4 linked regions of the Elephas maximus indicus genome follow. The protein of the gene in region 1 interacts with the protein of each later gene in a biochemical or structural test. Links are inferred from orthologs where the notes say so. Each region holds a gene or a part of one and is shown on either strand. Other genes may lie near its edges.

Region 1 (7,031 bases):
CAAGGCATTCAAATATATTTATATAATAAATATGCAAAAGACCAATGCATTATTTATGCTTTACTTTATCTGAAATCTTTCTCAGCACCCCCTCCCTTTCTCTCTCTCTCTCACACACAGTTTTTTGTCTTTTTTAAAGAAAGGAGGCAAGTAGAAAAAAAGCAATGTAGCCTAATGGAAAAAACCAGTGAAGTAACATTCAGTCCTAGATCCATTACCAGCTAGTTGTGGTGTCCTAGACTAGGTTATTTATTTCCTTCTTCCTCAGTGTTTTCCTCTGCAAAGGGAGAGATAATAAGCAATAAGTTTATCTCATAGATTGCTGTGAGAATGAAGTAAGTTAAATCTGCCCTTCGAACAATGAATGAAGAGCTATACTGTTGTAAGGGTATTATTATGTGTTTAAATGGGAGGTAGTTATTTGTCCTACTCCCACTTAGGAACCCATTACACCACAATATAGAAATTTGAGGGTGAGTCCCTCAAGCATGAGTTCAGTAAGTAATTGTCATGGAGATGGACAGTTGTACATACTTAAAAAAAAATTGGTTTCAATTGTATTTTTTATTCTGAAGGTAAGAATTATCTATGCAGAAGGAAGTCAGTCTTCAGTAGAATGAAATCTTGATGTATATAAAGTAATACTAATGCCATGGCAAGGGCTAAAGTTTGAGGGCTTAGAACTGTGGTCTCAGAAGTCACCTAGTTTAACCCTCCGTCTTGTTCATGTACCTAACACCTGAAAAGAAGGCCTTGCTGGGTTCATGCAGCCTCTGCTTGTTGATGTAAAACTCTCCACCACTTGAGGCAGTTCTTTGGATTTTTGGACAGTTTTGACAAGTCATGTTAAGGAAGAACTTCCCGTGTCCCTGTAACTTTCATCCTTGGTTTTAGGTTTGCCCCGTGTAAACATAAAATTAGCCAGTTTGAAGATTGAAATCAAGTTTCCCAGAGCCTACTCTTTTCCCAATGAATGGCCCTAGCTTCTATAAGGGTTTCATATCCCTGACTGCCCTGGCTACTCTCTTCTTTCCGGGTGCTGGTTTGTCTAGATTCCTCTTAAAGTGTGCTGCCAGGAAATGTCCCTGAGCCCTAGTGGAGGTCTGACCAGGCCAAGCATGGTCACTTCCACCATTCTCGACATTCCATTCCTCTTCTTGCAGCCTAAGCTACCATAAGCTTTTTTTGACAGCATCAATTCCTTTCCTTTTAGTGATTGTCTTGGCACAGGCAGCAAGCAGCCATTCTCCTGTAGTAAGAGCAAAAGATTCAGTAGAATCTGGCAGGGCCTGGGCACCTTTACAGAGGATAGGTTGGGGTCCTGGAGAGGACAAAGACAGAGACGCGGTGCTAGAAGGGTGGCTTGGGTAGAAGGATGGTTAGGAAGAGAAGGTTTGAAACTGAGAGACAGTATTGTTTGATATTGGATCTCCAACGTCTCAACAGAGGAATGGAAGATTTGAGCCTTTCCTTGAGCTTTTTTGACTCCTAAGCCTTTTCAGGTACTTGAAAGAGAATTAACTTGGGGCTAGAAAGTTGTGCAGAGTTACCAGCCACCATCTTGTTTTAGTAGTAACTTCCTTTTTTCAAACATATATTGTTTTTGAATGCAGAGGTTGGAAAAGCAATCAGATCCTATATGGGGTCCTATTCAATGGCAGCTTCTAACAACATAAAGTAAGGAAGATGTTGAGGAAATGGAAGTTGTTTGAAAAACTCCAAATGTCATTGTTTTGTATGTTGTGATAATGCGGTGGCCAGCTGCCAAGATGGTTCCCAGTGGTATTCATGCCCTTGAGGCTGACCTGGGTAATCAGTAGGATGTTGTGCAAATGACGGAGTGTTACTTTGGAATGTAGGTCATAAACATTGTGGCTTTTGCCTTGCCCTCTTGGATCACTTTCTCTGGGGACATTCAGCCACCATGTCATGAGAACACTCAAGGAGCCCTATGAAGAGGTGTAAGAGGTCTACATGGTGAAAAACTGAGTCTGCCTGTCAACATATGAGTAAGCCATCTTGGAAGAGGGTCCTTTAGCCCCAGCCAAGCCTTCAGATGACTGCAACCTTGGTAGACATTTTGACGACAACCTCACGAGACCCTGAACTAGGACCATCCAGCTAAGCCGCTTCCGAATTCCTTAAGACAGAGTAGATCTGTCTCATAGGGTTTCCAAGGAGTGGCTGGTGGATTCAAACTGCTGACCTTTTGCTCTTAACCATTGCACCAGCAGGGCCCGACCCACAGACTCTGAGATATTGCTTATTGCCATTTAAGTAACTAAGCTACTAAGTTTAAAGCTTTGAAGTAATTTCCTATGCAGCAACAAATAATTAACACGAATGGGTAGAAAGGAGGAACAAGCAGTAAAGGTCCCCCTCCCCAAGCCTAGACTTGAGAATGGAAGAAGCACTAGCTTCATTCCTGCTTTTGGACGCTGCTGACAACTATATAGGACTAGAGGATGACAAGAAAAAAGGGCGATGCCTCTTCTTGTCTCCTCTTCTGTTAGCCCCACCCCCACCCCCTTCGTTTTTTAGAGGAGGACTAGAATGACTTTGAGAGTTAAGACAAATTTTGTCTTTAACTCCTCGGTGACCCCTGGGAAAGGCTACATTGGATTCTATCCATTTGGTCTTAAGCTGTGGGTCCTTGAAAGCAGGGATTGGATCTTATTTATTTTTATCCCCATTGGCTAGCAAGTGAACATATATGAACACTGAACGGTATTTTAAGGGAGAGGGCAAACTTCCCTCCTGAATTCTGAAGAGATTCCATTCTTAGGTTCCACTCCTTATCATTCCATTCACAGTTGATCGCTGAAGCTTGATCAATCGTAACACTCACACCATTAGTTATTTTCACTATTAAAAAACTTCCATCCTTCCATCCTGTTTCCTCCATGCATTGTTGCTTTAACTGTTGCTCAAGCTCCCAAGATGCTTGACCCAGAATAGCATAGCGATTTGCTCCCAATATACCAACACACCTCTGTCATGTTGTCTAAAATCGCACTGGAATGAGCCCTGGACTGGAGCTAGGATACCCTATTTCTGGGTCTGCTCTGTTACTGATTAGCCTGTATGTTCCTGGGCAATTTACCTCATCTCTCTGGACCTCAGTTTCTTTAACTTAAATCGAGAGAGCGGGTCTAGATGAGCTCTGAGGTCGTTAGGTTACAAGTTAGGATTCCGAAGTGCAACCCAGAAGTGAAACCCAGCCAGTGGTCAACCCAGCTCTGGGTAGCTGTTGCGGTTTCAATACGAAGTACCCGTGATGCAGTCTTAATGAAAGGCTGTCAGGTTTGCTAGGAAGAACCTTCCGGTTTTGTAAGACAGGAGCTCCGGGTTTCCAGTTCTGCCACTAATTCCGGGTGACCTTGGGCAAATCCTTTTCTCTGGACCTTAGAGAAGGGAGGTTCTTGTTATCCACAGACTAGAAGACCTGGGCTTTCCACGGTTCCCGTTCAACAATCCGGGTGGCTCTGCCCCAGAGCAGGATCCTGGCCCATTTTCCCTCTTCGAGATTCAGTCGAAACTTAGACCAGCCCTACTGGCTGAGGGCGGCTCAGCCTTGCAGGATTACAGGTGAACTCTTAAAGGGGCCACCAGAGTTTGGGTAATACCTGAGACTGATGGCTGGGCGAAGACGCAGGCGCAGGGGAATGAATGAGTGAGTGAATGAACCAACGAGCCTCCTCACCCTTAAATGCACTTATACTGGGAATTAGTCATTTAAAAAATTCTCTACTACATCTCTCAAAGTCTTACCAAATTACCCAATCTTCCTATTTTACGTGCCCTTCTTTAATTCAAAACTTCCAAACTCTTTATGAGGAGCGAAGAGTAACTTTGCAAAAACCAGTACAAAGTGTTGAGGTGGCACCCCCGCCCTAGCTCTTCTCCTTTTCTCCTCCCAATCCCCGCTGTCCCCGCCCCACACGTGGGTGGTGCGGTCTGCTCCTCCCCAATGCCGCTTCACCCGGCTGGGGACCCACCCCCGGGGGCGCCAGGCACTCTCGGCTGCCTCGGAGTTGGAAACAGCACGTGTTTAGTGAGGTTAAGGGTGTATACGAATGTGTGTGCTGGATCCAGTGTGAGGGAGGTCACGTCTCTTCAGACACCTGGACCCTTGCGGGCTCGGCGCGCTTTTAGCTCAGAACCGCGGGACACCGGTGGGCTAGGTAAAGGCGGGCTCTTCCATGGCTACCCGGGACCACCTGTAGAGTCTGCGTGTCAACTCCTTTGTCCTCGGCGCCACTTCAGTGGCCGCCCCTTTAAGGGAGAAGGATCACTTGGGACGCTCTCCGAGTCCCCCTGCCCGCGCCGCAGCCCCCTCCCGGCCCTGCTCCCCGTTTAACCCGAAGGTAGCAGCGCCGGGAGCCCCGGGCTCGGCGCGAGCCGCCTCCTCACTTCCCATTGGCTGAGAGCGCCGGGAACGCGGTCACGTGGGGGCGCGGCAGTCCAGCTCCGAGGCCGCCATCTTGGCGGAAAGTTTGGGGGGAGAGCGGTTGGGGGCGCGGAAGGAGGCGAGGTTCCGGGGGTGGGGCGGCCGGGAACGGAGAGGGCGAGCGGGCTAGCGGGCTGCGGCGAGCGCGGAGGCTGCGGCGGCGTTCGAGGAGGAGGGAGAGGCAGCGGGGGTGCGGCCGCGGAGGGGAGCTCCTCCCCCGTCCCCTCACCCCTCTCAGCTCAGCTCCTCGAGCCCCGGGCGGGGCGGGGGGACGTGGAGCAGGGCAGGGCGGGGCAGCCGCCCCGAGTCGCTTCGGAGCGCACCCCGCTCGGAGCCCACGCCTCTCGCAGGAACTTTGTGGCGGAGCCGCAGGTGTGGGGGACCGCGGAGGCGTGCATGTGGGGCGCGAGGGCGTCGCGGAGAGCGGCCGCTGTCCTGTCCGGGCCCCGCCGGAGTAGCCCGGAGAGAGCGAGCAAGGAGAAAGGCAAGCGAGAGGAGGGGGCTGGAACAGGGCGGGTGCTCAGCCCGGTGGGTCCCTTCGGGAGCGCTTGGCGGCCGCCGCTGGGCTGGCTCCGGGGCCAAGGGTCGGAGCGCCTCTTGACCCCTCCCCCCGTAGCAGGTGGCGAGGCCGGATACTGGGGCCAGGGTTGGGGAGGTGGCCCCAGGTCTAGGCGTTTAGTGTTCTTGGAGGAGGAGGAAGCTTTCGAGGAGAATTTGCAAGAATGCATTTCTGTGTGCTCTTCATCTGGAAGGGTACCCACCCCGAGGTGAAAGCCTTCTAGATTGATTGACAGCGCTGGGTTTTGAGTCCCTCCCTTTGACTTGGGAAAACTTTGCAAGGTGGGCTGTTCCAGTGGGCCTGGGAGTTTTTCCGATATGGAGTGTGGGGAGAAATGCTAGTTTAACGACGACTGTATTCTTTTTCCTTTGTGTTTGTGGCTTTAAAGGTGTGTGCCCTCTTCCTGATTCTGGAGGAAAATGCCGGTCCGGAAGCAAGGTGAGAATTTGTCTCAGAAGTGTCTCGTGTGGGTGTCACTTAGTTTTCCATGTATCTGTTTTGTGATTGTTACCTTTCAGAATGCTTGTGTAACTTTGATGAAACAGCACGGTCCTAGCTTTACGATTTGGGGAATTTAAGCTTCACTTTATTTCAGAAGAAACCTAAATGTTAAAACTTTTTCCTTGACAGCTCACCAGTTACTAGAGAGTCAGTTAATATTTTCTCCTGAAATCTTTCAACTCTGAATTGGTATTTTAGTGTGTCACTTTATACTTCTTACTATTTTGTGAGCAAATGTGGGATATTAAGTACTAGTATTTTGCAAATACTTAGGATTTGAGTTATAACGACAAATTGCAGCTTTTGCATGTCAGGTAATCTGAAATTATGTTGGTAATACCTTAATCTTTTACTGTGGCTGGCTACCAGCACACATTTATTAGAAATTACTCACCTGCCTCCTTTTTCTACTGTCAAGTAACGTGTTTAAAAAAATTTTTTTTGATCTTCCTGGAGACTGTACGTTTACATGTACCTGGTGACATCAGTTGACCTGGAGGATTTTGGGAATTGCTGAGATGTCTTGCACAATCATTTGTCTGCATAGCTAGTGGGTAATACTTTGTCGTGAATATATAATTTCAATCAGGCCTTTTTCTCCTTTTAGATACCCAGAGAGCGTTGCACCTTTTGGAAGAGTATCGTTCGAAACTAAGCCAAACTGAGGACAGGCAGCTCAGAAGTTCCATAGAGCGGGTTATCAACATATTTCAGAGCAACCTCTTTCAGGCTTTAATAGGTGAGAATAAAACTTTGTGACCGTTATGTGTCTATTAGGCGTAATCTTCCTTTGAATTCTGTTATTTTAAATCAAAGAGAATGAGGTACTTGGCTTTCTATGAGGCATTCATCACCTTGAATGTCTTCAGTGAGTTGTATGTTTTTGATACACCGGTATGTTTTCCGAAAATACCTAATAACCAGAATAATTTCAGCATGATTATACCAGTGGTCTTTGATAACAGTGTTTCATATCTTAGCATTAAGTATTAAAAGTATTAAAAGATGGAAGACATTGCAGAAATGTTTCAGAACTCAGAAGGTCGTTAACTGAATTATTGTTGACTTGGTTCTGTACTTGATATGCCTTTCTCAGGAGCACTGTAGGGTTCTGCTGTGTTCAAGAGCATTCATTGCCTTAACGTAGACCCTGTTTAAACATTGCGTTTGTGGAGTCAGAATTTTAGACTGGACATGATCTCAGAGACGACCTTGATAATAACTTTACAGACAAGAAAATTGAGGTAGAGTTTTATTCTTAAGTGTAGCTTAAGTTTGAAGTGATAACATTGTTTTTAAAAAAGAACCTGTGTTAGCTGTAGAATGCAGTGGTGAAGTAGAACAGTGATTATTAAGGGTCTCCCACCCCTTCATAAGCAGTTAGATAATTTTTAAAAACAAAATCTTATGTTTTGAACACAAGCTCTGATATATAAAGCAAAGTGCTTTGGGCTCCTTCAGATACCTTGAAAAGTTTTCAAACCCACTGAACTAGATTTATCCCTTTCAATTCTAACAATG
Region 2 (7,201 bases), on another chromosome or scaffold:
AACGCTGTGAGATGGCTTCTACAATAACAAAAGCAATGCAACCAGTTCCCTCAGAATTCACGCTCCCTAACCCACATAGCTGTGCCTTCTCTGCCCCTCACAATCACTGGAACCACAATTTTGAGCCATACTTGGGTCTCCCTGTGGGGAGCTGCAGCTGGTGGGTAGATGACCCCAACCCTCCCCTGGGGGTCGAGAAAATATCTCACCTCTCTCTTCCCCCTCACTGACACTCATCTCTCTCAGCTCTTTCTCATCAAGCACACTCCAACACACACACACCTCTTCTTCACGCACACATATGCACTCATGCACATTCACAGCACTTCTTGCTCCCGCATTCACACACATGTACCCTCAGTACACACTCATACGCAGCTCTTCCCATACACACTCCCACTCACACATCTTTCACTCAGGTACACTCACACACACGCACACTGTCACTCATGCGTACACGCTCACACACACTCTCCCGCAGTACACTGTAACCGGTACAGTGTTTTTTAAAAAAAACAGGTGCTACTGGGTCGTTCCCATGTGTGTCAGAGTAGACCTGGTCTCCATTGGGTTTTCGACGGCTGATTTTTAGGAGGAAGGTCACCAGGTCTTTCTTCCAAAACACGTTCGGGTGGATGCGAGCCTCCAGGGACTCCGGTAAGGAGCTAGGCCCAGAGTGGATCCTTTCCCAAAACTGGCCGACAGAGCCAGACTTTGTTGGGGACAGAGCCGGATTCTGGATTTTCCATAACTTCCCTAGATTCACACTCACAAAGCAAACTGAGCTCTCATCTGGTGCAGGTCTAAAGTGAGACAGAAGTGGTTTAGAATGTTTTCTGGCAAAAGCTAACAAAACAAAGTCTTAGGGCTGGAGTTTGAGTTCTGACTCCATCAATTACTAGCTGTGTGGCTTCGGAGAGGTTACTTAGCCTCTCTTTACTTCAGTTTCTTCCTCTATAAAAATGGGGTTTTACTCCCTACCTCCTAGGGCTGTTATGCGGATAAAATGATAATATTTGCAATGCAGGTAGAACGTTGTCCTGCAACTTGCACATGCTACATAAATAAAAGAAAAAAAAAACCAAGCAAGTATTGAATTGAAGCCAGCATTAACCCTCCATTCACTCACTGCCCTGCATTGGGTCAGCATTGATTGAGCACCTACTGAGTTCATTAGACCAGACACAAAGGGCACAGACCCCGTTATCTGGTAAAAAAATAAAAAAAGAAAGAAGTACAACCTGATAATTATAAATAGAGATTTGAATACAGTTCTAAGAAAAGCCAGAGAAAGAACATTTACCTATTACCAAGTAAACTTGGGGCGGGGGGGGGGGGGGTCACAAAACAAAACCACTGGCTTTTGTTCCATCCCTTGAATCCATGTAAAAGATTGAATTCAGTCTGATTTGTGAATTTAGACCAAGGTTTGGTACACAGGAGCTTTTTGGAAAATGTTCCCATCGAATGCCATCCATTCATCCTCTCTGGTATTTTTCTTTCTACCTGTCTTGCCAGGTCTGGGTGATCACGCAGAAAATATTCCCTGGGTTCACCCCAGCCCTCAGCTAAAGGCGGGGGGGAGGGAAGGTATGGGTTCCATCTGACCAACCTTGTGTCATTTTTTTTAAACAACCACTGATAAAATATTTGGGCTGGGAAGAGGAAAGGAAAACCCTTAATAACTGGGAACGTCTCAGCTGCTGAGCCACAGCAATTTGTTTTAAAAGCTTGGTGGTTTAACTCAATGAAACCACTTTGTGAGCCGGTATACGCACAGTTGGTTTAATAACGGATGGAAAAATAAAATTCAATCAATCCGCACCCCTCCCCCAAATCCATTCCATTCTTTTGAATGAAATCGCTTTTAAATGCACCAAGCCTGGTTAACTGGTGTTGGCGGCTCAGAGGGTCCACACCGACCCTGCGGAGTCCCGAGATCCGCGGCAACGCGGTGAGCTGGCGAGCGCAGCGCTGGGCTCCCCGGCGATGGCCCGAGGCCCACCCATTCTCCAGCCCGCTGCTGCAGACGTGCCTGCACCCAGGGAGCCGAAACGCTTTGGGAAGCGCCCCGCGCGGGGAAGCGGCGGCTGTCACTAGTGGCGGGCCTGTCTGTCCCCCAGCCCATCGTCGGCTCCCACCGCCCGCGGGCAGGGCTCCGCCGCCCCGGAACTTCAGCCGGCAGACGCTAGGCGTGCGACCTGGCCACTTTCCTAAACTCCGGGGCCCGAAATCGCGTCGCCAGGCCCGGGGCAGGAACGAGCAGACGCGGCCGGCGGAGCAGCGCCGGGACCTGCCGGTGCAAAGGCTCGGAGAACAAGCGCTGCGCTCCCGGGTTGCCGCTCCCGGCCGGCCAGCAGCGGCGGAGGAGCTCGCCCCACCATTGGAGACACCGTCCCCTCCCCGGAGGCTGCGATATCCATCAAGGGCTCGGCGGAGGCGCGAGGGACATTAATCTCCTTGGGTTTGCCGCTTTCCGCAGAGCCGAAGGGGCAGGGAGGAGGTCCCAGGACTGGAGGCTGGGGCGTGCAGAGTAGGGGAGCCGATAAAAGGGTGCTAGGAACAGGGTGGGGACCCACCTCCAGAGCCTCCTATCCCATGGCCGCGCTCCGCATGGGCGGGATGGGACGTAGAAACGAGCTTCAGCCCCCACAGCTTGGAGCGAGTCTCCGCACCCAGCCATTCCCGCCGGTGGGCGGGCAACCTCCTCCGCCAGCATCCCGGCAGTGTCGCCACACGGTTTCTTTTTTCACCTGAGCTCCCCCACCCACCCAGCCCCGGCTCCGGTCCCGGGAGTTCGGTTGCTCCTCAGACCTCCGCTGCCCCGGACCCGGGCACCTCTCTGCCCCGCGCTCCCCGCATCCACCCCTGCCAGCCGCCCCGCGCCAGCCGGCGGCCGGGGGCGCCAGGCTCGAGGGCTGCCCTGCGCGCTCCTACCTTGACAAGCAGGAGCTGCGGGCGCCGTCCCATCCTCGGGCTCGCTCAGTCACGGTCCTGGATGCCTAGGTCCCTCGAACATCACAGAGGGGCCGGCGGGCGGTTGCTAGCTAGGGTGGCGCAGAGTGGGCGGCGGGGCTCCCAGGTCGCTGCCCCGCGCGGAGGTGCTTGTCGCCGCACTCCTCGGCCCCGCAGCTCGGCCCGGCCTGGCGGGCTCTGGCTGGGTCCTTCGCGGGGAAGTCCCGCGGCGGTTCCCCGACTCAGCCCCAGTCTGCAGCAGCTTATCGCCAGCTCCGAGCGCGCCTCGCCCCTGCCGCCTCCCCCTCGGTCCGCGCGGCTTCTCGCCTGGCTCCCCGCCCCCAGCCTCGCGCTTCCCCTCCCCTCTCTGTCCCCTCCCTTCCTCTTGGTCCCTCCTCCGCGCCTCGCCCCTCCGTTCCCGCCCCCTCCCTCCACCTCTGTCCACTGCCTTCCCTCGGCCTCCTCCTCGCGCCCTCCCTCGCTGACCCCTTTCCCTGGGCCCGGGTTTGCGGCAGTCCGCGGGACGCGCTGGCGGCGGTGGCGGCCACCGCAGCCCAGGGAGAAGCCGAGGATGGGGGGCGGGGGAAGTAGCAGCCTCCCGCCGCCCGTCTTATCTGAAATCGGGCCCGGGAAGTCCAACGGAATTTGGGAAGGGTTAGGGGGCTCCGAAGGGTCTATGAGAGTGAGGCTATTGGAAGCTGGAGAATCGGACGGCCCAGCAGAGTCGAGCCGCCGCGGAGATGGGGTGAAGCTGGGAACTGCGTTTGGGCAGTTCTCGCTTGCGCTGGCAAGGAGAGGGTCCCCGCCGCCCCCACTCCAGCCAGCGCCTGACGCCAGGGCCCGACCCCCAGAGCCTTTGATACTGACACGCCCGGTGCGCGCTGAGACGCGAAAGCTCGGCTAGAGAGCCCTTCCCATTCATTCATTCATCTATTTTCATTTATTCATTTTACAAGCTAGGTGCCTGCTCAGTTTTGCCTGGGAAAGGGCTGGGCCTGGGGACCCCAAAATGAAGGGGGAGACGTCAGTGCCCTTCAGGGCTAGCCTGCAGCTAAGAAAAGAAAAAAGAGGAAAAGCTGTGCGCGCATTGCGCTACAGCGCTGGGAACACAGCTGGAACCTCGCGCGCACGGCGTGGAGGAGGCCGCAGCGCCCCCTCTAGGCCGAGCTCGCAGGGTAGGGGTGAGCGGCTCCGCCAGACCTTGGAGTCTTCATTTGGGTTTACCCCGCAGCTCGCCATCCTATCGCCAGCTCTGGGATGCAGCTCTCTCTTTCTCCATTTCCTTAAGTTTTTCCCTACAGCCCTTCCAGATGGACAGCACTTTTGACTTCCTCCTCCCCCCTTCTCCTTCTGCCAGAACTGAGAAGGAGTCACCTGAGGGAGAGAAACCTTCACTCCACCCCGCAGAGCCTTCGCCCCAAATGCCGCGGATGGCAGCCCCTCTGTAGGTAGCAGAAACACTGTGGGCAGAGCATTGTCCCATAAAGGCCATGAGCTGGCTTTGAAATCAAACTCTGAACCTGGCTGCCCTGGGTTCTGTGCTCTGTTGCTCACCCCCTTCCATCCACTTCTCAGCACATTGGGCAAGAACCAGCACATTCACGGGTTCAATCGACTCTTCATTTGGAACTGGACTTACTGTAAGAGTCCATGTGATCCAACACATGGGAAACTGAGGCACACAAAGGGATGGGGACTTGTCTAAAGTACCATAGCTGGTGAGCCTAGGGCTCAGCCTCCTGATTCCCAGTTCACTGACTTTCCCAGCATGTTCTGCTGCCTTCTCCCATGTTGCTTACCACCCAGGAGCACCCAGATTCTAAGTGCCGGGAGGGTTGGCCTTTGACGTGGTTTAGGATACTGAAGTGGGGAGGGCCATTCATTGCCCAGGAAGCAAGCCGGTTATATTGGCTGAGCCACACAGGGTGGCACTTTCTAGGTGAAGCCACAGTCCAGAGCCTCACAAAATTCCCACTAATTAGTGCCCCAGAGCTGGTCATGCTGAGCCAGAAGCTGACTCACCCTGGCCATTCCCAGAAGACAGGGATGGATGTAACAACCAGATTGCCAATGTTGGTCTCAACAAAAAGTAACTTTAGAGGAGTCTAGTGTAGTGCTGATTCTGGAGTCAGACAGCCTGGGTTTGAGTCTTGATTCTTTGCTTTCAAGCTGTATAAAACTGGAAAATCATGTAACTGTCCCTCACTTTTCTTGTCTGTAAGATGGAGGAAAGGAATACCTACCTGGTAGAGTTGTTGATTGGATTAAATGAGTTAATATTTGCAAAGGGCTTGGAACATTACCTGGTACTTAATGAGGGTTAGCATCACCATCATCACTCGTCTGTCTTTTGTCATACTGTGGTGGTTTGTGTGTTGCTGTGATGCTGGAAGCTATGCCACCAGTATTTCAAATACCAGCAGGGTCACCTACGGTGGACAGGTTTCAGCAGAGCTTCCAGACTGACGGACTAGGAAGAAGGACCTGGCGTTCTACTTCTAAAAAAAATTAACCAGTGAAAACCTTACGAATAGCAGTGGAATATATCTGATATAGTGCCGGAAGATGAGCCCCTCAGGTTGGAAGGCACTCAAAAGACGACTGGGGAAGAGCTGCCTCTTCAAAGTGGAGTCGACCCTAATGATGTGGATGGAGTAAAGCTTTTGGAAACTTCATTTGCTGATGTGGCATGACTCAAAATGAGAAGAAACAGCTGCAAATATCCATTAATAATTGTGGAATGTCCAAAGTATGAATCTAGGAAATTGGAAGTCATCAAAAATGAAATGGAACACATAAGCATCAATATCCTAGACATTAGTGAGCTGAAATGGACAGGTATTGGTCATTTTGAATTGAAAAATCATATGATCTACTATGCTGGGAATGACAAATTGAAGGGGACTGGTGTCACATTCATAGTCAAAAAGAGTATTTCAAGATCTATCCTGAAGTACAACGCTGTCAGTGATAGGGTAATATCCATATGTCTACAAGCAAGACCAGTTAATCCAAATATTATTCAAATTTATACACCAACCACTAAAGCCAAAGATGAAGAAATTGAAGATTTTTACCAACTTCTGCAGTCTGAAATTGATCAAATATTCAGTCGAGACACATTGATAATTACTGGTGATTGGAATGCAAAAGTTGGAAGCAAAGAAGGATCAGTAGTTGGAAAATATGGTCTTGGTGATAAAAACAATGCTGGAAATTGCATGATAGAATTTGCAAGAGCAAAGACTTATTCATTGTAAATACCTTTTTTTGACAAGGTCAACAGTGCCTATGCACATGGACCTTGCTGGTTGGAATACACAGGAATCAAACTGATTTAAAAAAGATGATGGAGAAGCTCAATATCATCAGTCAGAACAAGACCAGGGGCCGACTCTGGAACAGACCATCAATTGTTCATATGCAAGTTCAAGTTGAAGCTAAAGAAAAAAAATTAAAACCAGTCTGCAAGAGCCAAAGTATGATTTTAAGTATATCCCACATGGATTTAGAAACATCTCAAGAATAGATTTGATGCTCTGAACACTAATGACCGAAGACCAGAGGAGTTGTAGAATGACATCAAGGACATCATACATAAAGAAAGCATAAGGTCATTAAAAAGACAGGAAAGAAAGAAAAGACCAAAATGGTTGCCAGAAGAGACTCTGAGATTTGCTCTTGAATGTAGAACGTGGAAGAAATGATGAAGTAAATGAGCTGAACAGAATGTTTTCTAAATGTGATTAGAGAAGACAAAGTATTATAATGAAATGTGCCAAGACCTAGTGATAGAAAACCAGAAGGGATGACTATGCTTGGCATTTATCAAGCTGAAAGAACTGAAGAAAAAATCCAAGACTTGAGTTGCAGTATTGAAGGATTCTATGGGGAAAATATTGAATGACAAAGGAAGCATAAAAAAAAGACAGAAGGAATACACAGAGTCACTGTACCAAAAAGAATTGGTCGATGTTCAACCATTTCAGGAGGTAGCATATATGATCAAGAGCCGATGGTATTGAAGGAAGAAGTCCAAGCTGCACTGAAGACATTGCCGAAAAACAAGGCTCCAGGAACTCATGGAATACCAATTGAGATATTTCAACAAATGGATGCAGCGCTGGATGTGCTCTTTCATTTGTGCCGAGAAATTTGGAAGATAGCTACTTTGTCAGCTGACTATAAAAGATATGTATCTGTACCCATTCCAAACAAAGGTGATCCAACAGAATGTGGAAATTAT
Region 3 (7,189 bases), on another chromosome or scaffold:
ATGGACCTCTGCCACCAGCTTCCAAGCAACCCTACTCTTGGAGCACCTCTGTCCCTTACTGCTCACCAATCAGGAGAGTCCAGGGTTCCAGGTCCAGCTGATCCCACCTGACCTTTCTGGCACCCATCTGGACTCGGCCTCTGCTAACACAAACTCGACCCACAATGATACCTTTGTCCTTGGGTAATTCTGCCTGGCCAAGCTTGGGACTGGGATGCACACACAGTTTGGGGCAGGATTTGGGCTGTGTAAAACACACCAACACAGAAAACAGCCCCATTCACAAGGTGGCCAGGGGCTTAGCTCCATTGAGTGCTCTCAACGGGGGCAATTTTGCTCCCAGAAGACACTTAGCAGTGTCTGGAGACATTTTTTCGGCCAAAACTAGGGGAGGGGTCCTACAGGCATCTAGTGGGCAGAGGCCAGGGAAGCTGCCAAACAGCCTGCAATGTACAGGATAGCCCCTACGACACAGAATGACCAGAACAAAATATCAACAGTGTCCAGGTCAAGGCTAACTGGAGGCTCACCTTCACGGAGAAAGGCGAGGGATGGAGACCCACCTGGGCCTGCCCACCTCAAACACAGCCCTCCCACCCCAGCCACAGCCCTCCCACCCCAGCAGAAGTGTCCCACATACCTCTTTACAATGACGCTCTAGGCACCAGTAGTTACCAGATAAAAAACAACCCCCCCAGCTCAACAGGTCAGGGCCTGCCCTCCCCCCCAAGGCCACCCATCACTCCCTAGCTCCCAGCTCTGAATCTGAACGTTCCTATAACCGTAGGCCCCCCTTGCACCATCGGCTGGACTCCAGACACCCAGGGCCAGCTTGCGCACATAGCGTGTTCCCCAGGAAGCACACGGTGGAAATCAGAACCCTGACAGGTACCCTGACACGTACCCCCACAGGTGACACTTCCCCCGCTCCCTGGCTCTGAAAGGCACACACAGGCTTTGTCCTCCAAACGCTTGCTCACCTATGTGTAGTCCCTCATTGAACTTCTGGAAAATGGGTCATTTCTCTTTCTGAAAGGTGAGGAAACCAGATGCATAGGGAATGTGACCTGCCCGGGGCCACTCTGCTGGTCAGCATGGAGTCAGGTGAGGACCCAGACACACCCCAAACAGGAGGCTGCACACAAGCAAATCGGGCAAGCGAGGGTTCTGGACTCATCCACAGGGTCACTACAGATAGAGATGCTGTGATGCACAGCATTGATCACCCAAGCACCATGCCACAGCTAAGAAGACAAGCACCGAGGTCGACCCAGAAACCAAAACTGAAACTCCAAGAGCCAAGCTCCCCATGGGTGTCCAGGCAGGAAGCAATGAGGGAGACCCCTGCCAGGCTCACTCAGTCTCATCCTCAGTGACATCAGCTTAGGGTGGGAAGTCTTCCGAGACACCCAGCTCCTACCTGGACTGTGGAGATGCTCCTTCTGTCAGCCCGGATCATGCGCAGAGCTGACCCTATAACTGAGATTCTTGTTTTCTCTGGGACTGCGGCATCATTAAGGGTATGGCTGAGCCGGAACAGGAGCTCAGCAGCAGTAGCTGACTGACTGAACAATCTCTGCCTGGGCTCTCCTATTACTCCCATTTTACAGGTGAGGAAACTGAGGCACAGAGTGGTCCAATAATTTGCCTTAGTTCACACAAAGCCAGAATGTGAGCCCAGCTGGCCTGGATATACTAGGCTGCCGGGTGGGTGGTGGCATTGTACGCAGGGCGCAGGGTAGGGATCCTCCTGCTAGCCTCAGCCAGGACCTGCAGGTGCCATGCATCACTGGCCTGGGGTGGCCCAACAATGACCCCTGAGCCCCTCGCTAAGTGGTGCACAGGGGGTTCACCTTGGGGATACAGGGAAGGGTCGGTCCCTGCCCAGGCCTGATGGGGAGGCCACCACCCACTTGTCTTCACTACTACCTACTTAGCCCAGCACTTGCTCAAATCCTCAAAGGAATCCCTGCTTCTGTTCTACAGATGCAAAAACTGAGGCTGGGGCTGCTAAGACCCAGTATGTGGCCCCCGTAGCTTTCATTAGCAGAAGCTGCCAGGCTTCCCCTCTTAGCTGGAGGCACAGAGCTGACAGGGCTCCTCCACCAGCCCCCACCACCCCCACCCCCCACACACACCGAGGAGGGTTCCTTCTTGGGCTGCTCTGAACTCTCAGGGCTAAAGGAGGTTTGGAAGCCCATCCTGGGAAGAGTTCCTGGGCAGGTCATTCTGTCCACTTTCCTGACCCCGCCTTCAAACTCCCTGGGCTTCCTAAGAGTCCCTCAGCTCTGATGTCAAGACCGAGCTACCTGGAGGCAGAAAATTCTTTAGGGCCAGGATGTGTCCCCCTGGGGGTTCAAGGGAGGGCCGGAAGGTCGGTGGGAAGGGCTCAAGGGAGGGCAAGGGGCAGGCAGTGGGACATCCGAGGCCAGGATGGGAGGGTGCTCTATTCCCTCCCGCAGGGAGAGGGGTTGGGGCGAGGGCACAGAATTGTCAGAGACACGGGGCAGGGCTTGCGGGAAAAGCCAAAGGAAGGGAAGGCGCACCCCCCAGGCTTAGCTGCCCCTACCCCCAGGCTTACCTGCGCCGCGGGCGGTCGGGCGGCCGGTCCAATCCCCAGGCTCGGCGTTCTGTACTCCCTGCGGCGCTCGGTCCCTCCCGGTCCCCGCCCTCCCCCACTTCCTGTGCAGCCAGCCCGGCGGCAGGGGCGGCGGCGAGCTCCAGCCCGGCCCAGGTGGGCTCCCGTGCGGGCTGCAGGACGCGGCCCGGCGGCTGCGGGTCTGGGGCCCCGTCGGAGGGCGGGCGCGCGCTACCGACGAGCGAGAGGGACGGGACGGAGCGAGCCCGGGCACCTGCTGCTACCGCGCCTCACCTAGCTGGTCGCCTGCGTCACCGTCTGCTCCTGGGCCGGCCCGCACCCACGTGACGCGCAGCCTGGTCCGGCTCGCCCCTCCGGAATGGGCCGGAGTCCGCTGGCTGCGCCGCTCCTGGGAGCTCAGCGCGGCTCGCGACCGGTCCCCTCCGCCCAGGGCCGCGAGGGGCGGGGCGGGACGGGGGTGGGGGGAGCCGAGGGAGGAGGAGGGGCGTCCCGGCGTTGGGACCGGAGTGCCTGGGCTTCCAAGATCGTGTCCCTGAATCAACTCCCACTGTCCTTCCGGCCCTCCACCTCCTCCAGGAAGCCCTCGGGGAAGGAGACCACCGGAGTCAGTGGCAACTCACTCAGTGCTGTGTTCAGGCAACCTGGTGTTTGCAAGAAGCTGGCGCCTGACCCACGGATTCCCTACTTGCCAGCCTCCACAACCGCCTTTTTTTGAGCCCTTCTTGGGGGCTGGAGCAGATTTTGCTGCATCAGGCATTTCTGAGTGAAAAGAGCTGAAGCAGCTCTGGGGGGAAAGCATTCAGAAGGTGGGCTATTTCTGCAGCTGCCGAAAGGCGTCCCTGACTGGAGCAAACTGTTTACTCGGGTAGTGTACTAACCTAACAATGACCGCACCCAACAACAACTAACCTAAAGTTTGTCAGTTGGAACCCACCCAGTAGTGCCATGGAAGAAAGGCTTGGCGATCTGCTTCCATAAAGATTGTTGTGCTGTTAGGTGCTCGGGAGTAGATTCCAAATCCTAGTGACACCATGTGACAGAGTAGAACTACCACCATAGGTTTTCAGAGTAGAATGGCCAAGAAAACCCTATAGAGGCAGTTCTACTCTGTCACATAGGGTCACCATGTGTCAGCAACGGGATTTGTGTTTTTGGTGGCTACAGAAAACGGCCCACCTTCTGCATGCTTCCCCTCCAGAGCTGCTCCAGCTCTTTTCAAGCAGAAATGCTTGATCCAGCGAAATCTGCTCCAGCCCCCAAGAAGGGCTCAAAAAAAGGCAGTTGTGGAGCCTGGAAAGACCCAAATCCATGGAGGCTTCTCCTGACTCTCGTGGTTGCAGGGGCTGATGAACCCAAAATCAGCAGGTCAGGGGGCAGGTTGCTGGCTCACATCCCAAGAACCGGAGGTCAGATGACCACGAGTCAGATGCAGGATCCAGAGCAAGAATTGGGCCTTGCCGGATCATCTGTTTATATACTGGAGACAGGCCACACCCTCAAGGAAACTCTGCTTTCAACTGATTGGCTGCTCATAGTAGATGTCATCATGGAGGTAATTACATTGCATCAGATCTCAGCATGGAGGTGATTACATTGTATCAGGTCTCATCATGGAGGTGATTGCATTATATCACATTATGGAAGAGCAAGCAGCCTGCCAAACCCCTGAGAATCAGGGTGCTCAGCCACCTCCCCTGCTGTAAGCCCTGAGATGTCAGGCTTGCTTGTTATGCAGCAGCATCTGCAGACCCTGACTGATGATTCCTCTCTCCTGGCCCTTCACCCAAGGCTGGTCCAAGAGTGAAAGCTGGTCTGGACGTGGATTAGTGCCACTGCCCCAGAAAAGGGCCACAAAACTTGAGACCTAGAGGAAGATCAGGAGTCAGCTTGATGAGAGGCGACAGAAAAGTATTCTAGGCAGGGGCATGGCACATGTGAAGGCCCTGAGGTGGGAAGGAGCCTGTGGGGCTGGGAGCAGAGAGAGCCTGGGAGCAGGGTGGTATGAGAGTGGGGACAGGCTGGACCCCTTGTGGCTGGGGAAGGGGGGTGGGAAGTCTGTCTTCATTTCAAGAGCAGGGAGGAAGTCATGGTTTAGCAAGGGGGCAGCCCCTCCCAGTGGCAGGAGCAACCCAAGGAGGCACCATGATCAGATGTGGTGGAAAGGCCCCTCTGGCTGCCAGGGAAAGAGCGGGATGAAGATGGCTGAGACAGACACCCTGACTCCCTAACCCAGACCAAGCCTGAGTGTGTTGAAGCTGATGCTATCCTGCCTCTGCTTGAACACTTCCAGGACGGGGAGCTTACCACTTCCCAAGACATACTATTTCATTGTTCCTTGCTACTGTCTTTCTGTAATTCTTCATATTACATAAATTCTGTATTGTTCGTCATTGCAGGCACTCCACCTTTCCCCAAGACGCTTCATTCTGCCCAAATCCTATTTAAAAAGTGGTCACCAGAACAGAGCTCAAAGCCTAGGATGAGAAGAAGAGAAACAACGCTCACCTCTTCTTTTCTAGATGCTATTACCTCTGTTAAGGCAGCCTCTTCTTGCCGAGACTATGATGTATATCCATCCCATAGTACCAAGTCCAGGGCCCTGCATACAAAAGGTGCTCAGCAAGTGCCTGGTGCCTCACAGATGTGACCCAAGATTCTAGACCTCAGCTGAAGAAGTGCCAGCTCCACTCCTGACTCCATCTCCATGGCCCACTTTTCAGGAAAGGCCATTGCCAAAGTTTCCATTTGGATACTCCATTTGGGCACTGGCAGCCCAGGAGTAGACCGGACCTCATCCCAGTGCCGCCTCCCCAGGGCCTGGTAGCCACGTGAGCTTGCTGCCCTCTGCTGGGTGAGGACAGCTCCTCAGGCTCCAGGCCCTGCCTTGGCATTTTCTTGGTGTCCTGGTTTGGACGGTGGTGCTGCCCAGCAAACCTGCAGCCTGGCCTGCTCAGTCCCTGCCCAGCAACTTCCCTCCTCCCTGTCCCCAGTGTTTGCCAAGCAGAGGGGCCGGGGCTGCTAGGGAGCCCGGAGGTGCTCTCCTGTGTGCAGGGGCCACCTGAGCAAGGGCACAGGCTGGCCATGTCGGTCCCCAGTGTGGAGTGAGGGGCGAAGAAGGGCTGGTCCGTGGATGGTGATCTGGGACCCGGAGCCTCTTGGCTCCTGGACTGACTTCTGGGTAAACCAAAAAACCAAACCCACTGCCGTCGAGTTGATTCTGACTCATAGCAGCCCTGTAGGACAGAATAGAACTGCTCCATAGAGTTGCCAAGGAGCACCTGGTAGATTCGAACTGCCGACCTTTTGGTTAGCAGCTGTAGCACATAACCACTACGCCACCAGGGTTTCCGACTTCTGAAGCTCCTAGAAAAGGCGGGCAGGCTCTGACCCCTGTGGCTATGCCAGGCCTGTACCTCTATGGCCCAGCACACAGGAGGAAGAGGAGCAGCTGTGGTAGTGGAAGAGGGGCCTGGACATGGTACCACTAAGGCCAAGCCTGTCCTGCCCTTCCTGGCCTCCCCACCAGCCTGGTAAGAGTGTCAGCCTCAGGGAATGTAAAGCAGCCCTGGGAGCTGGCCTGCCATGTGGCCTGTAGTTTCAAACGTCTGGGCCACTTGGGGTCATCTCCTCTTTCCTCTCATCCCCCAGAGTCCTGGAGATGACCCCACTGTTAGAGCACTGCGCTCCCAGCCCCTACCCCCCTGTGGTTCTGGGGACAGAGCAAGCTCCTGATGCTTGTCTTGGAAGGTAAGAGATGGCTCCTGCCCAGGCACTCACTAAGTGAGGGGACCACCCACAGGGTCCCTGGCAGGGGGAAGAGTCTGGACCCCCAACCCTGACGGCTATTGGAGATTTGCTGTAAGGATGTCACCGCTTGCTGTCTGCAGGAGGAGCTGGCCCCTTTGCTGTGGTTGAGGGGTCCTGTGCACCTGTGAGGCCTGCTTTAAGTCACCCAGACTTGTGCTTGGCCTACTTTGGGTCGTGTCTGGGCATGACCCAAAGAGATAGAACCTTCAGGCCAGCACCCCCAGGAGGCTGAGGCTGTGGGACATGTTCTCTAGGCCAGGACCGGGTGGCAGTGCCAGCCTGCCCACCCGGCCTTCCCTGGGGGCATGGCACTTGCCCCAGGAATGTGGGGGGCGGAAGGAAAGGGCCGAACACCCACGCCTTTCTTTTCAGGCCTTGGCATTGGGCTGGCCTGTCCTTCCCTGCAGGGCTGCCTCTGCCCTGCCTGCAGGCGGCTGGGAAAGGGCTCCCGTTGACCTTTGATGATACAGAGCTGCCAGGGGGCCTGTGGACAGAGGCTGCTCTGTCTGAGCTGGCTACTGGAAGACCCACGGAGGGGTGGGGCCAGCAGGCGGGTGAGGGGGTGTGGGGGGTAAGCGGGCCAAGCCGTTTCACTGGCCCACCAGGATGGTTTTGCTAAGCAGGCGGCTCGGCTCAGGAAGCAAGTGGCTGCTCCTCTGGCAGCCCCAAAGCAGCAAATGGGAACTTGACAAGAGAGTTGTCACCTTCTATGAAGCGCCTACTGTGTGCCAGGCCTGGTGCTAGGTGTTTTACAGGCACCGTCTTATTAAATTCTTACAAGAA
Region 4 (7,094 bases), on another chromosome or scaffold:
GACACATGAACAAAACCAAATCAGTTGATGTCCAGTCAATTCCAATTCATGGCAACCCATGTGTTTCAGAGTAGAACTGTGCTCCATAGGGTTTTCAATGGCTATGACATTTCCAAAATAGATTGCCAGGTCCTTCTTCTGAGGTACCTCTGGGTAGATTCAAACCGTGAATCTTTCAGTTAGCAGCAGAATACTTTGTACCCTTTGTACCACCCAGGGACTCAGCAGGGAGTTAAAAATGGATTCAGCTGGTTTAGGTGTCCCTTCTTTGTCCTTTCTCAATGACTCCTGTGTGCCTACAAGATAAAGTTGCAATTACTTCAATGGCATACGAGACCATCCATAGTCTGGTCTCTGCCTACCTCCCCAGTTTCATGTCTTGCCACCACCCTGTACTCTAGCCAACTATACAAACTACTTGCAGATCCTACAACTCCCCATGTAATTTTAGACTCCCATGCTTTTGCTCACTGTTCCATCCACCAAATTGTCCATCTTTTTTATGCCTACATACCCTAGCGACATAGTGGTTAAGTGCTGTGGCTGCTAACCAAAAGGTCGGCAGTTTGAATCCACCAGGCACTCCGTGGAAACTCTCTGCGGCAGTACTACTCTGTTCTATAGGGTCTCTACGAGTCGGAATCGACTCGACGGCAACGGGTTTGGTTTTTTTGGTTTACACTTGTTTTCATCACCCACTAGATCTAGTTTTTCCTTACCACCCCCTCCTTCCTCAATCCCTTTCTCTGCCTTTCAGAAATTGATCACTACTTCCTTTTACACCCACTGGACCCCTATACTTTTTCTAATCAATGTAATCTTTAAAATGTATTACATTTGTTGACAGTTCAAGTAAGAGAGTCTTATCACTCTGAAGGCAGGGACACTGCCTTATCCATCTTGAAGAACTCTTCATCTGGCAAAGTACCTGCTACATAATTCCTCTTTATACTAATGATGTGCATTTCGCCTTGTCCCCTCTTGCATATACTAACACAAGCTTCTACCAGGCATTTTCTTTCAAAAAAGAAAACATATTTTCAGGTTATATTCTGGACCCAATCTCTCCTCGCTAAACAAACAACTGTACAAACACAACTGTACAAATTAACGTGCATTTCTGATGCCGCATCTACCTTCCTAAATTAGAAGAGATATGGCCCCTGCAAGATCTATAATGAGAAACAGCATGTTGATGAGATAGCAAATTAAATTATAATGTTACTTTGTTTCAAGACACATTATTTAAGGAATTACTTTCCAACAGCTACTGCTAAAGCCTATCTGACTTGGATCTGTGGGTCACTCTGAAAAGTGGGAACTACACTACTGACTTCCTCCCTACCCCTACTACTGCCAATACTATTATAGCTCACATTAATTACTCCTGTTCAGGCAGGTACTCAGAAAGGAATTATCAAGTCGCCCTGATAATTCTAAAAGGAGAATGTGAAGTGACCTTTCCCATTCGCAGTCCCACTCATTCAGATGTGCTGCCATGGGGAGCACCAAACCATTCCTTGTTGGTAGCTGCTGTGGAGTCAATGACGACTCATGGTGACTGCACGTGTGCAGAGTGGAGCTGTGCTCCACAGGGTTTTCAAGGCTGTGACCTTTCAGAAGCAGATCACCAGGCCTGTCTTCAGAGGCGCCTTTGGGTGGGTTTGAAGTGCTAACCTTCCAGGTAGCAGTTGAGCACTTAACCATTTGTGCAACCCAGGTACTCTGGCCTATTCCTTATCGCCACTTAAATACTTTGCGAATAACTGCTCGAGTATGATGGAATGCAATCCAAAGTATTGCACCATTAGAACACGCCCACTCCACTGAACAAAAAGTTTAGTGAAAGCTTTTCTTATCGGTACTGAAGTCAATGCACCTACTGCAGTACTTCTTTTACATACCTTCAAAATAACTCCAACTGGAAATTTAACAATATTCAAGAACTCTACTAGGCCTTAGAGGACACATGCTGCTTGCTCAAGAGGGCTACTCTGCAGTAGTGAATCCCAAAGCTTGAAACAGCTTAATTACCTCAGGTAAGCCTGAGGTGTGCAATATTTTATAAAACCTGTTTCGCTCGCAAGACTACAGGATAAAAAAAAAAAAAAAAAAAAGCTGACCTCAATTAAGAGCATTTTGGCACAAGCATATTTGAAAAACATATTTGAAGAACAGTTGTGAAAAGCATCCTCAACGCTAGAGCTGCCAGTCCTTTCCCAGTAAAACCCAAACTAAGGACCAAAGTCCCCAACGGACCCCCAGTGCTTCAATGCCAGCGCTGGGAAAAACTAAGAACCTTTTTCTAGTCCCCTCAGCATGCACTGGAGACAGGTCAATATTTCGGAAAAGACTAAAAACTAATGATAATATAAAAGGCTGAGTCCTCTCTCCTCCGTTCAGGTGTGCCTTAAAGAGCTCTCCTGGGGCCTGGAGAATCAGGGGGGTCCTTGGTTCCTAACTCTTCTACAGACCCCGGGAGCACCAAATCACAAATGCAGATGCCGTTAGGGTAGGCCCGCCCCGCAAGTTGGGGGGACGGTTACCAAGCCAGCAAGAAATGGGGACGAACCTTGCCCAGTATGAATCAATATTAGGGCAGCCACGCCCCCCAACCCCCAACTCCAAAACGGAGTGCGGCGAGCGCCGAGCCCAGCACGCTGCCTGACAGACTCGGTGCGAGGCCGGCGCCGGAGACGGGTCCTCGGGCAGGCGAGGGGCATCGTGGCGATCCGGCACACCACCACTCCACGCGACTGACCTGTGCCTGCTGCCGCAGCCGCCGCCTCCCCGCGCTCACGCTGCCGTCGCAGCCACCGTAGCCGCCTCCTGCGCGGCGCCCCCGGTCGGCCTCAGGAGCCCCATTCCCACCCCGCCCAGCCTCCGCCTGTTTACAATGACTGGGACGAAACAGGACGAGCCGGCTCAATGCGCACGCGCATTCAGTCCTCCCGCCGCTGCCAGCTTCCCGGGTTCCTGTCGCCCGTAGACTGACTGCTTAGGCCGTCAAGGGCAAACGCCCCGTGCCCTCGCGCGAGGCACGCCGGGAGAAGTAGTTCTCGTACGCCCCACTCTGGGCCTTCACGGGGCCGCTCGTAGAAGGAGCACACTACAACACCCAGGAAGCTCCGCGCTTCCTCCGGCCCAGGCGCTCGCTCCGGGGACAGAGGGAGCGCGCGAGAGTGCGCGCCGCGCTAGGATTGTGCAGGCGCCTGCGCAGTTCTGGTCTTGGGGGACTGGGTGGGACGAACACCTACCCCATAAACGTATTAGCCAAGATCGTTTGGGACAGCTCTTGTGATGGTCTTGAGAAAGGAAATAGCTTTCCTCTCCACGCTCTGACCAGCCTGTGTCCTCAGCTACCGAAGCTCCAATCTTGTGCCGGCTTGCTTTAGTCGTCCTAACCAGTTAGACGAGCCTGGGAGGCCGGCCCAGCCTGCCGCTGGGTGGGGCGTCTTCCTGGCTTCCGACTGGGTGCGGAACCTTTTATTGCGGTGGGAACTCTTGCTTGAGGGCCTTGGAAAAAGGAAGCGGCGAGGGCCAGTGGGGGAAAAAAGGCTGGTGTAAAACTTCCACGGAAGGACCGTCCGCGGAATTCCTGAAATGAGTGTTGACAGGATCAGCCCTTGGTTCTTGGCCGGCTGCGGAATTGCTGTCTTCTACCACCCTCTTTGGCACATTTACAAAGCAATACTTGAGTTAGAAATGCCCAGACACATGTTCAGCGCGCAAACAACTGAATCATGAGGAAGAGTGGAAGTAACTGGATTACTCCAGAAGTGAGGGCTAAGGAAAGTCCTTCCAAGGCTTAAAGAATTGTTCTGCTGATGCTCCTTGAAGGCTGGAAACCCGGGTTGGTTGGTTTGTTGGAAGTGTTCTTGTTTTATAAAATTTGGCTGTTTATTAGGGAAGAGAGAGGATTTGGGGTAGATAGTCCTTCACAATCACTTCCATCCCCACATGACCGCTGCAATCCATCCTGCAGTTTTTCTAAAATCTGATAAATTTGTCTCCTGCGCTCTGCATTTCCTACCCAGTAAAGTTCAGGCCTGGTGGCACAGTAGTTAAGTGCTGGCTGGCAAGCAAAAGGTCTCCCACAATTAGAACTGAGACGGTATGGGGTAGCCATTGTTTTTCTGACTGTGTAAAAGCTTTCTCATTGCCCCTTCTGGCAATAGAACAATCTGTTCTAACCACTGGGATGGGCATGCAATGGTGCCAATTGCAATAATACTCTTTGCCTTTGGCAACATGCATTGGGCCAAAGGATAGGCACTGACCCAAGCTGGGCATTATGGAGCCCTTGCCTGAAATTGCTATATGGACAGAGAACGGGAAAAAAAAAGCGTTCTGCTGAGGTTTTGCTCATGGCCATATGCCCTGCAACATAAAGAGGCCTGTCTGCAGTAAGAATAAAAGAGGCCAAAGGACGGAAACAGAAAAGAAAGGAGAAATGAAGAGGAGAGAAAGCAGAGCTGGCCGCATAATGACTGTAGTTTCAGTCTCAGAGGCTGATCCTTAAGTGGTTGTGAGCATGTGAGTCTAGCTGGGTGAGCCAGTATATTCATTTATTTGTCGTTATTTAGGGCCAGTTTTTGTGGGCATAGAAGATATTTGTTGGTTGACTCTCAGGCATTTGTTTCACCTATTTAAGCCATGCAGCATATCCATATCCTCTTGCAACTGTGAGCTCTGCAGAGCTCTGAGTTTTAAAGACGGCCAGTGAGCTCTGCAGAAACTTGTACTGGGCTTCTAGTAAAATGCAGCTTCCTCACACTTCTGGTATGATGTGAGTATATGAGGTCTGGAAATATGGTAACTGTTTTCTTCCTATAAGGGGGGAACCTGGAGGTATGCTGGCTTACGGAGGAGGGCACCAGTGGAGGAAGGCACCGGTAAAGCCTCAGGATGACATCAATACTATTAATTGAGTGCTGGGGAGATGAAGAAAAACCTTGTTCTTGATGGCATAATTAGAGCTGCAGTATCATACCTTTTGTGAATTGTGATCCATAAGTTTTCTATATTGTTCAAGCCAGTCTGTATTGGGTTTTCTGTACTCAGAATTCTGAAAGTCCTAACTAATTGAGTTGGACTTCTCTTATGACACTGAAAGATCATGACTAATATAGGTTACTACCTACATAAAAAGAATCTGTGGAAGGGACTTTAGTTACGACAGCATGACAGGTCAGCAATTCCTCTGTACACAAAACAAGTATAAAACTGGAAAAAATTGTCAAAAACAACCATTTAGAACACTGGAAGTCAACTAAACATAGATGACAACTTTAGAGGCATCTAGAAAAAGTGATAGAACTTCAAATAGGAACAGTGGAAGTCTATGGCCTACTTGCCTAAGGCCGCTCCTATCCTCCATTGTTGCCTCAGCTCCATTGAGAAGAACAAATACTACCAGCATGAGTAGGCTACCCAAGAAAACCAGCAGCTTTGCTGCCAGAGGAGATGGACTCAATTTGTGGTAGAAGGTAAAAAAAAAAAAAAATGGCTTTACCAGTTAAAGGTAGCAAACTCAGTTGCAAATGAACAGGGAAAACTCATATCTTTGCTACCCCAAAGTTGCAGTTCTAGGTAGAGTAAATGGCAAACCAGGCAGAAATATAGCTGGGAGATACTGGAAATAAGAGTCATTGAAGCGCTGTTCTCCACACATCTCTGAATGACTGGGAAACTGTACATGTGTGGTAGTAACCCAAGAGACCCACTGAAAAAAAAGTGAAAGCCAAGGCGGATTTGGGAACTGGTAGTAATTTTGAATGCATTCCTCCATCCACACATAGATTAATTGACAGAAGGAGGAAGACAAGCTCAAGTTGTTTGAGTACAACTTTTGCTCAGCTCATTGACAGATCACTCAGCCATGCAGACATGGGGTAACCTCTAGAAAGCCAGGTTAAAGATAAAAATCAGAATAAAAAAAAAGATTAAAGAATTGATCTGTGTCAGACCAAATTAACAACAGTAACTCTAAAGCAAGATGAGTGGTCTATGGGGCAGTGAGTGTAAGTCAATGGTAGTGAAAAAACACGGGGACAGATAGCAAGAATAGTGTTACAACATGAAAAATGTAACCAATGTTATTGAACTATCCGTTGTAGAAATTGTTGAATGGATATATGATCTGCTGTGTATGTTTACACCAAAAATAAATATTAAAAACAATAAACCGAGCAGAAACACAAGAATCACAACCCATTGGAAAGGCAGATCCGCAGTTTAATTCTAGGTGAGATGCAAAAAACAAAACGCTCAGAAAAATAAAATGGCATCTAGAGTTGCCGAAATATACAAAATATTACATTTTCAACAAAGAAAGGAATTCATGCAAAGAAACAGGAAAGTGTCACCCGCTTACAGGGGAAAAAAAAATCAATAGAAATTGACTTTGAGTGGGCCCAAATATTAGATTTAGAAGACAATCTCTTCAAAACAGCTATTTTAAAAATAAAAGGAAATGTTTCAAGGAATTAAAGGAAAAGATATTTAAATAGAGAATCTTAGTAGAAAAATAGTTTATAAAAAAGAAACAAGTGGAATTTCTACACTTAAAAGTATTGAAAAAAAAAAAAAATCACCCAGAGCGAAGAAGAATGAAGAAAACCCAAGACACAAGAACAATATTAGCCCAAAGGACTGAAAGACCACATGAACCAGAGACTCAACCAGCCTGAGATCAGAAGAACTAGATGGTACCGGCTTACCACCAACAACTCCCTTGTCAGGGATCATAACAGAGAGCCCCAGAGACAGCAGGAGAAAAATGTAGAACAGAATTCACATTCAAGTAAAAAGACCAGACTTCACTGGTGCGGCAGAGATTGGAAAAACCCCTGAAACTATGGCCCCCAGATGCTCTGCTAACCCAGAACTGAGACCATTCTTGAAACTCACTTTTCAGATAAAGATTAGACCGGCCTATAAAACAAAAATTAATACATGTGAGGAGTGTGCTTCTTAGTTCAATCAAATACACAAGACCAAATGGGCAGATCCTGTCCAAAAGCAGGACAAGAAGACAGGAAGGGACAGGAACTGGATCAATGGAAACAGGGAACCCCAGATGGAAAGGGAAG

What was found.
Region 2: the proteins of DLG1 (region 1) and CRHR1 form a complex in vitro, tested with the Homo sapiens proteins (3 studies listed by BioGRID and IntAct, with this or other methods). The link is inferred for Elephas maximus indicus from reciprocal best matches to the Homo sapiens genes DLG1 and CRHR1.
Region 3: the proteins of DLG1 (region 1) and ARHGEF16 interact in a test that uses a peptide from one of them, tested with the Homo sapiens proteins (2 studies listed by IntAct, with this or other methods). The link is inferred for Elephas maximus indicus from reciprocal best matches to the Homo sapiens genes DLG1 and ARHGEF16.
Region 4: the proteins of DLG1 (region 1) and RALBP1 interact in a test that uses a peptide from one of them, tested with the Homo sapiens proteins (2 studies listed by IntAct, with this or other methods). The link is inferred for Elephas maximus indicus from reciprocal best matches to the Homo sapiens genes DLG1 and RALBP1.

Annotation. Positions count from the first base shown.
Region 1 is NC_064819.1:18,851,789-18,858,819, reverse strand, and holds the start of DLG1 (disks large homolog 1), read left to right. Parts: upstream 1-4,010; 5' UTR 4,011-4,184; intron 4,185-4,844; exon of another isoform or gene 4,845-4,934; intron 4,935-5,397; 5' UTR 5,398-5,428; coding exon 5,429-5,447; intron 5,448-6,117; coding exon 6,118-6,249; intron 6,250-7,031. UniProt on the Homo sapiens protein: Essential multidomain scaffolding protein required for normal development. Recruits channels, receptors and signaling molecules to discrete plasma membrane domains in polarized cells.
Region 2 is NC_064837.1:52,544,662-52,551,862, reverse strand, and holds the start of CRHR1 (corticotropin-releasing factor receptor 1), read right to left. Parts: upstream 3,011-7,201; 5' UTR 2,971-3,010; coding exon 2,938-2,970; intron 1-2,937.
Region 3 is NC_064821.1:42,076,848-42,084,036, reverse strand, and holds the start of ARHGEF16 (rho guanine nucleotide exchange factor 16), read right to left. Parts: upstream 3,021-7,189; 5' UTR 2,873-3,020; exon of another isoform or gene 2,582-2,872; intron 2,026-2,581; exon of another isoform or gene 981-2,025; intron 525-980; exon of another isoform or gene 1-524. UniProt on the Homo sapiens protein: Guanyl-nucleotide exchange factor of the RHOG GTPase stimulating the exchange of RHOG-associated GDP for GTP. May play a role in chemotactic cell migration by mediating the activation of RAC1 by EPHA2.
Region 4 is NC_064829.1:13,772,961-13,780,054, forward strand, and holds the start of RALBP1 (ralA-binding protein 1), read right to left. Parts: upstream 3,001-7,094; 5' UTR 2,762-3,000; intron 1-2,761. UniProt on the Homo sapiens protein: Multifunctional protein that functions as a downstream effector of RALA and RALB. As a GTPase-activating protein/GAP can inactivate CDC42 and RAC1 by stimulating their GTPase activity.